Canis lupus familiaris: one gene and its partner. The protein of the gene in region 1 interacts with the protein of each later gene in a pairwise test. Links are inferred from orthologs where the notes say so. Each region holds a gene or a part of one and is shown on either strand. Other genes may lie near its edges. The genes, in order: ZMYM2 and FOXP1.

Region 1 (3,810 bases):
TGTTTTTAAAGGATGTTTTCTTTGTATTAAAAAGGGGGCTAAATTCTGTTTTTGCTCTTTATTAAAAATTACTGTATTTAGTTTTATTGTTTTTACTGTACTTAAATTTGTGAAACTGTACCTAATTTCTTTTAAAAGGGAACTGAGGCTTAACTTAAATTTTTCTTTGTTACCAAATTATTTTAACATTGAGTAACTATGTATTAAGTGTTATTTAATATTGCTTCTTAAACACATTTTGTATTTTTAGATGATAATTGGAAAACAGAGTATGTTCCAGTGCCTATTCCTGTACCTGTGTATATCCCAGTACCTATGCACATGTACAGTCAGAATATTCCTGTTCCTACTACAGTTCCTGTTCCTGTAAGTCAGATTTTAAGTTTTTTTTTTCATTTCGAGGTTTATCAGGCATTAGATAGGAGAACAATGTTGTAATTCCTACATTAGTGAAGCCGGTAGAACAGAGGGTTGAGTCTTTGCCTTTACCATTTAAATAAGGTTTGGTTGAATCTCTGTCAATGTTTGCTTTGTGTTTAATCAAGTATATGTTCGTCTTTATTTTTTTATTTTTTATATGTTCATCTTTAAAGGTGAAGTTTAGCAAATGCCTTTGTGTGCTTTATGCATATATGTAGTGTTTTCTATTTGAGTTCATTTTAGAGAAAAATATTTGTGAAGTTGTAAGGTTTAAAATTGAAACATGGAATAAAATTTCATATAAATTATCATTACATTATTTTGTCCTAAGTCACTTGCAGTAAAGACATTATGCCAGGACTTGGATGCCATAGTCTCCTGGGAAACTGAAGAACCTCAAATACTATTTTTCTTTAATTTTTATTTAAAAAAAAAGGCTGCTTGTTTTCTGGGCTGTGTTATAGTTGACATCTTAGTTTTGGTATGTGTTTTTTCCAAAACTTTTATCCACTGTGGTATTATAAAGATCATGTGTTAGAATAATTTTTAATTTGGGAAATTATTTATTTGTTAGAGAATGAGAGAGAGAAAGCAGGAGCAAGAGCAGGGAGAAAAGGGAAAAGCGGAGAGGGAGAGGGAGAAGCAGGCTCCCTGCTAAGCAGCCTATGTGAGGGCTTAGTCTCAGGACCCAGAGATCATGACCTGAGCCAAAGGCAGACTCTTAACTGACTGAGCCATCCAGGTGCCCCTAAAGATTTTAATTTTAAGTAATCTCCACACCCTCCACTGACTGTACCAGACTGGCTTCCCCTGCCCTCCCAGGAAAATTACCTTCTAATGTTGAGTGAACCTAACAGTAAATACTTTGGTTAATTAGGTGCCGGTTCCTGTTTTTCTGCCTGCCTCATTGGATAGCAATGAGAAGATCCCTGCAGCCATTGAAGATCTAAAAAGCAAAGTTTCTTCAGATCCTCTTGATACAGAGCTGCTTACAATGACAGATATGATGACTGAAGATGAGGGGAAAACAGAAGCTGCCAACATTAACAGTGAGCTGCACTATATTTCACCTTGTGAATGTGTATCATTGGTTTTCAATAAATGTTGTAATTATTATAGTATGTTGCAGGACATATCATTATGTTTCAACTTGATATAGGAGTGGGGGAAGTATTGCAACAAAAACGTATTTTTGTATTAAGAGATCCATACTCTTTCTAGGCACATGCTGTCTCTTATGCCATGCCCAATTTCAAGCAGGAATTTTTAAGGTCCCTGTTTTAATTGGAACAGAATTTGACTTGTAAAATCAACTCAGAATTCCTGTTTTAATGTACTAGCTCAGACAAAAAAAACTTGTAGTAGACTTTAATAATGATCCAAACTCTTATTTTGTAATGGTTATCCCCAATTTTGTTTTGTTGGCTATACTTAATAAAATAATTTGCATTATCTAAACCAGGGTTTATCCTAATTTCTGTTAGGGCAGTGTTTGCCAAATGTAACATAAGTATGTTATAGATGATTCTCTTAGAATATTTATTCCTACCCTTACTTTTTTGGTATTACCCACAGTCTTCTTTCTTTTTTTTTTTTTTTTTAATTTTTTTTTATTTTATTTATTTATGATAGTCACATAGAGAGAGAGAGAGAGAGAGAGAGAGAGAGGCAGAGACACAGGCAGAGGGAGAAGCACGCTCCATACACCGGGAGCCTGACGTGGGATTCGATCCCGGGTCTCCAGGATCACGCCCTGGGCCAAAGGCAGGCGCCAAACTGCTGCGCCACCCAGGGATCCCCCACAGTCTTATTTCAACCACAAAACTGCCTAATCTCCTTTGCCCTAGAATACAATAGAAGCAGTATAAATTCTGTGTGTTTCATAATGTGACAGTGTTTGTTGAGGACTTTGTTACAGATTAATTTAGTGGGTTGCAACCAGTGGTTTTGTTTGTTTTTTAATGAAGTGAAATGGGAAAATGTTAGTGTGAATCTCATCGAAAGGATATTGTTTTGTGAAACTTTTGTTTCCTGTATGTGTATCTATATTTGTCTTTCTGTCTCCCATCACCACCTTCAAATGGATAAAATGCATATCTTTCTGTGGGTTGTAATATAAAACTGAAAACAGGGATCCCTGGGTGGCGCAGCGGTTCGGCGCCTGCCTTTGGCCCAGGGCGCGATCCTGGAGATCCGGGATCGAATCCCACGTCGGGCTCCCGGTGCATGGAGCCTGCTTCTCCCTCTGCCTGTGTCTCTGCCTCTCTCTCTCTCTCTGTGGTGTGACTATCATAAATAAATAAAAATAAAAAAAAATTTATAAAACTGAAAACAACTGATCAAAACGTTGGAAAGCAGTTGTAATGAAAAACTTAGGTCATAATTCAAAAACTGTTGAAAATGGCATTATCCACCCTTATTAGTTTATTTTTCATGAGAGATTGCTTCTAGAAATACTCTGCATACCAGGGTTGTTTATCAAAGCATACCTGTTAACCTTTGAAAAGAGGCAGTTAAAGGATTAAAAGTTTCCATGTGCTAATGCTTGCTTATCTAACAATAACAAAATTTATAGTAGTTACATTTCAAGATAGCTATATATACCTTTTCCTTTTGTGACATTAATGTGTTAATTCTTGTTTTATATTTAAAATTAAATGACTTCTTTTGCTAGGTTAAATAAAGGTACTTTTAAGTTCTTCTGTTTTGATTTTTTTATATTATGACTTGATTACAGGTGTAATTATTGAAACCGACATAATTGGTTCAGATCTCTTGAAGAACTCTGACCCGGAGACACAGTCGAATATGCCTGATGTACCATATGAACCAGATTTGGATATTGAAATAGATTTCCCCAGAGGTACTCAAAATGCTCTTTTATTCTTTAAGTGTAAACTATGGTTGTGGAATTTAGTTACGGAATCATAACTGTGGTTATGATTGTTAATCATTTAATGTTTGTGCTATTACCTTTACTGTTTATATTTGTCTTTTTTTACCCAAACAAAATTCAACAGTTAATTTCTGAAATGGGCTATAGGATTGAATTGAAGAAACTTGAAGAGAATTTCTTTAGAAATTCTCTAAATTTTTAGAGCCTAAAAAGATACTTTCCTAATGTAATTCATTATAGAAAACTTTGTAGATAGAGAAAAGGATAAAGAAGTGGTTGTTTCTTTTTAAAAAATTAAATAAACTGTTGATAGTATTTTTCATAAGCTTTTTTAAAAATTAAGTTTCACCTTCAAGGGGAAAAAAAGTATTTTCAAGTCTTTTTTTGTGAAAGAGATATGTTCTGTTTTTCATTATTTTCCTAAATTTATTGATGACTAATCACATCCAATAGAATGTAAAGCATTTTATTTTAAGAAAAGTTTGATATGTTGA
Region 2 (4,601 bases), on another chromosome or scaffold:
GGTGAGTTTGTATTTTTCCATTTCTGCTCCACTTTTTCCCAAGCTGCCTCCTGCCTTGTTTCCGCCACTTTAAACAACAACAACAACCAGCACCAAAAAAAAAAAAAAAAAAAAAAAAAGGAAAACGAAAAAAAGGAAAAAAAAAAAAAAAAAAACTACTTTCCACCTCCAGGCTCCACGTGCATCTCCCCCCCGCCCTCCCCTCTCAGCCTCTCTCCCCCGGGCCCGGGCCCAGGCTCTGGGGTGTGTGTGTGTGTGTGTCGTGGGGGGGGGGGGGTTGGGGCCGGCGCGAGGGTGGGGGGGGGCCTTCGGCGGCGGCGCCCGCACGCTTGGGTCCATTTCCATAAGTCAAATGAGGGTGGGGGGGGGGGCGGCGACGGCGGCGGGGAGGCGAAATCGCCTTCCCCCTCGGCCTCTTCACGCCTGGCTCTGCGCGCTGGGCGATCGCCGCGGGGAGAGGCATCAATAAGCCCAGGCCGCCTGGCGCAACTTTCGATGTCGGGCGTCTGGGTGCCAGGCGAGGAGCAGGGCCGGCGCGGGGCCGGGGGTCGCGTCTGTGGCGGGAGGGGGCGCGCGCCGGGAGCCTCGGGAGCCCGAAGTTTGGACTTGGAGCAAACTTTTTCCCTCCGCTCTCCGCGAGTGTGTGCCCCTCCGTGCCCCTGGATCGTAAGGACGGGATGCCCGCACCCCGGGCCCCGCGCCTCGGGACATCCCCGGTGCCACGCGCGCCTGGCCCCGAACCTGGCCGCGGGGACGCTCCACCGCCGCCCCCCCCGCCCCCGAGCACAGAAAACTCGGACACACGCTCGCGCACCCCCGGCTAGACACGCACCCTCACGCGCGCTCGAGCCCGAGCACCCAGCCTTGGCGCGGACCGGCCAGCTCCGCGGGTGGGAGTGGGAACGGGGTGCGCTGCGGGGAGTCGCCGCGTCGGGTCTCCTCCCCTCCATCACACATACTTTCGGGGGTTGCTCTCCTTTGAAGCTTGGGGTACCGGGGCGGGGGGTTTCCCAAGCCTGGATGTGTCCGGAGGCGCGCGGGAGCCGCCGCGTCCCTGCAGCCCCGTCCCGGCGGCCGCGGCTCTCCATCCCTCGCCAGCACGCCGCCTGCCTCCGCAGCTCCCCGCGCTCCATCCCCATCCCGCGGAGGACTCCGCTGTGCCGGCCGCCGGGGCTGCGTGCGCTCCGGGCGGGGACGGCGGCGCCGGGAGCCGAGAGTTCGCCAGTTGCCGCGGGGTCGCGGTCATTCGCTGCCTCCGCCTCCCCTCGCCCCCGCCTCCCGCCCCCCCCCCCCCCTCGTCCCCAGATACCGCCGCTCGGAAACTTTGATTCCTTCTCCTTTTTGGCCCTCGGCGAGTCCCCCTCCCCACCTGTTGTGAGCTCCGCCTCGGTCCCCGGAGACTGGCGGTGACACACGCGGGCGCCGGGGAGCTCCGCGCCCAGAAACAAAGTCGCATGCCCCCTCCCCAGTGTTTGCTTCGAAATCGCAGCCTGCAGCACACCTCCCCCCCCCCTTCCCGCGCAGCTCCCGCCCCTGTGAGAATAAGGACTAAATAAACAGTTGTAACTTCAAACCTTGTGCCTGCGATCGTATGCCTTTCCCACCCCCTTCCCCCGTCCTCCCCCCTCCTTTTTTGTTGTTGCAACTTTGTAAGATCCTGGGGAAGGTGCTGAGACTTTGGCTCGGGCCGAGTTCCCGGTCTCGGGATCCTTGCAGGGATTCCCTAAGCCACATCCTCCTCGCCGTCCGCCCGCACTGGCGGGTCCTCCTGGTCCGCCGCCCCGTCTGCCCGGGCCCCCCAGCCTAATCACTTGTCCCACTCCCCCTCCCTCAGTTCCCCCCAACCTGCGCCGGGAAGCCTTGCTGAGGGTCGCCCTGGTTTCTTGTCGACCGCAGAACCCGAAAGTTTGCAAGAGGAAGAGAGCGCGCAGCGAGCCAGCGGGCAAGGGGCAGCGGCAGCGGCGCCGGGGACCATGGTGCTGCCGGCGCCTCCTCCGCGGGCGTGAAGGCGGCGCTCCCACTCCCTCCCCGGACTCTGCGGGTAAGTCGAGGCGGCCGCGGGCACCGGGGCGAGGACGCGGGCGGGGGCTGCGGAGACCCCAGAGCCCCCGGGGCTCTCTCCCCAAAGGGCCAGCATGGGCGGCGCGAGCGTAGGGATGAGGCGCCCGGAGCCAGGAATGTGCCCATCCTCAAGCTGGTAGGTGCCTCGGAATACTGGACTTTCTCTCTCTCTCTCTCTCTTTTTTTTTTCCTCCTTCCCCTTCTCTTTCCTAAATCCGAGAATCTGGAGATCAAAGTTTAGCGTGGAATGTAAAGTGCTCCGATAAAATATGGTGACATCCCTCGTCCCCCCTTCTCACCCCACTCCCCTCTTATAACTATTAATTATTTCCAAGTCATTGTGTCCAAATACCCTTGCCTGGCTGATTACAAAGTGTATTGATTTAGTCTGGGCTCATCCTACGCATTCGTTTTAATTCATTTTCCTTTGCTCGACCAGAAAACCCGAAATGAAACTTATTTCTTCCTCTTCCCAACACCCCGCCCCCCCCCCCAACGCCCCCCCACCCCCCAAGCTCTCATCTCTGACGCCTGGGCAGAATAATGAAATTAATATAAACATTTCATTTGGTTGCATTTAAGCTTCTTATAAGGAGCTGGTGTTGCTCTCCTGTCCGGTCACAGGTATTTTGCAAGTTCGGATTTCCTTTTTTGTTGCTGCTTTGTAAACAGGAATGCTGGAAGGGCATTCTGTATTCCTTTTAAAAGGAGTCTATACCTTGAAACCATCTACACTTTACCTTTGGTTGTCCGTAGGCTTTAGGATTTAGGGCTTGCACAATAGATGAGTTGGAAAAAAAAAAAAAACTTGAAGGATATTTAAGGGATTTTTCTGCTGCTGAAAATATATTGAAGAATCTCTGCAAATTTTTACCTTCCATCTCCTTTCCTTCGTTTTTCCATAGTGATAATCAGTTTGAGGGGAGATGTCTTAACTAGAATTAGGAGAGAAATGGTAAGACTTCAGGTGTTTTCTACTCAGGGTTAGCCTGCATAATTGAGACAGAGGAGTTGCAATTATTTTCAGTTCCAGAGAGAAATGTATCAAATCTTTTTTAGAATTCCACTGGAGTTTTGATTCTCAAAGTGGAAATACCCATCTCTTTGAGTCCAGGAAAAGAAAATTGGGCTTACAGTTTCAGAGATTTGGAATGTTTTTTTTTTTTTTCTCTCTCTCTCCCTGACTTTTCTACTTGAAACATCTCATAATTAAAGAGCATTAAAAATATAAAAAGAAACTCAACTAGTTACCATTCAAAAGATGTCAGCTAAAGTCTCACTGCAAAGGGGTGGTGGTGGGGGGGAAGGTTTAGCATCTTACCACTGGCAGCATTTTTCCCTCCTTAGACTTTGGATTAGTCATTGTATGAGAGAGAAAAAGAAATCAGTTTTTTTTTTTTTTTTTTTTTGGAAAAGTAAAGTAAACAGCCTCCAACTGCTGAACCTTGACAACCCAAATTAAGGAAGCAGGAGAGATCAAACAGAACTACTGCTGGGTTGTTGTCAGGAGCTCTACATGGAGAACTCTGGACTATTCGATCAAGCAGCAAAGCTATATATTCACTAATGCAGAAATGGACCATTGCAAATGCTGATCTTTGTTGTGCAAGCTAAGGCTCACTTGGAAGGAAATACTCCGCTCCACTCTAGGCAGCATTTGAGTTCCTTATGGATGTCGAGTTGCTCAATAAGTTATTTTTCTAATACAGTCTTGCTTATGAAGAGCATGCACGCAAAAAGGTATGGAATGAATATTAAGTCTTCCAGAGGCTGCCTTGCTACCCAGAACTGTGGAGTGGAATTCTTTTTACCAACATCAGACTCCTACACTAGAGTTAGGTAACGTTTTCTCACATCAAGTTTAGAAGATCTGCCTTGTCAGGAAAGCCAAGGTTTTGTATGTGAGGGTTTAAATCTGATGTGAAGCTCAAAAAAAAAAAAAAAAAAAAAAAAAAAATTCCCTGGTGATGAAGTTTTGTGTCAGCCCACTCTTGGAATTTAAAAAGGCGAGAGGGAGCATTCTCCAGATTAGACATAACCTCTTTTTTTAGATTGACATTCAACATGACCACGTTGCTACTTTTATTCAAGTTCTCTGTAACTTGTCCTTGCTTGTTGTCTAGGAAAATTTAACTGCTTTACATTTTTAAAGGGAGTAGTAACAGCAATTACTTTAGCATTTTGTTTTCACAGGTTTATCAAAGTATAATGAAAGCAACATCAACTATTCAAATTAACTGTCTCAAATTAAGGAGGTTATATTGCTGGAGATGTGTCTGTAAGATTTTGTGTTTATATTTAAATAGTGGAGTAAAAACTGCAACACTATTTTTTTTTGTTATAACTATCCCCAAATTAAGTGTCATTTTTAATTAAGTAGAACAAAGTAGGAAATAGGGCAAGTAAACACGTAAAGAAGAATAAAAATGATTGCCATTTAAGGATTGCATTTTTAATTAACGTGTCCATCACACAGTAAGCACTTTATGTTTTTTTATGTCAGAGTTTCATAACCATAGTGCCCAACATGTTTCAAAGTG

Evidence for each region.
Region 2: the proteins of ZMYM2 (region 1) and FOXP1 come close enough for resonance energy transfer, tested with the Homo sapiens proteins (2 studies listed by BioGRID). The link is inferred for Canis lupus familiaris from reciprocal best matches to the Homo sapiens genes ZMYM2 and FOXP1.

The regions. Positions count from the first base shown.
Region 1 is NC_049246.1:18,147,547-18,151,356, reverse strand, and holds part of ZMYM2 (zinc finger MYM-type protein 2), read left to right. Parts: intron 1-250; coding exon 251-366; intron 367-1,297; coding exon 1,298-1,469; intron 1,470-3,157; coding exon 3,158-3,283; intron 3,284-3,810. UniProt on the Homo sapiens protein: Involved in the negative regulation of transcription.
Region 2 is NC_049241.1:20,573,673-20,578,273, forward strand, and holds the start of FOXP1 (forkhead box protein P1), read left to right. Parts: upstream 1-1,671; 5' UTR 1,672-2,041; intron 2,042-4,601. UniProt on the Homo sapiens protein: Transcriptional repressor. Can act with CTBP1 to synergistically repress transcription but CTPBP1 is not essential. Plays an important role in the specification and differentiation of lung epithelium.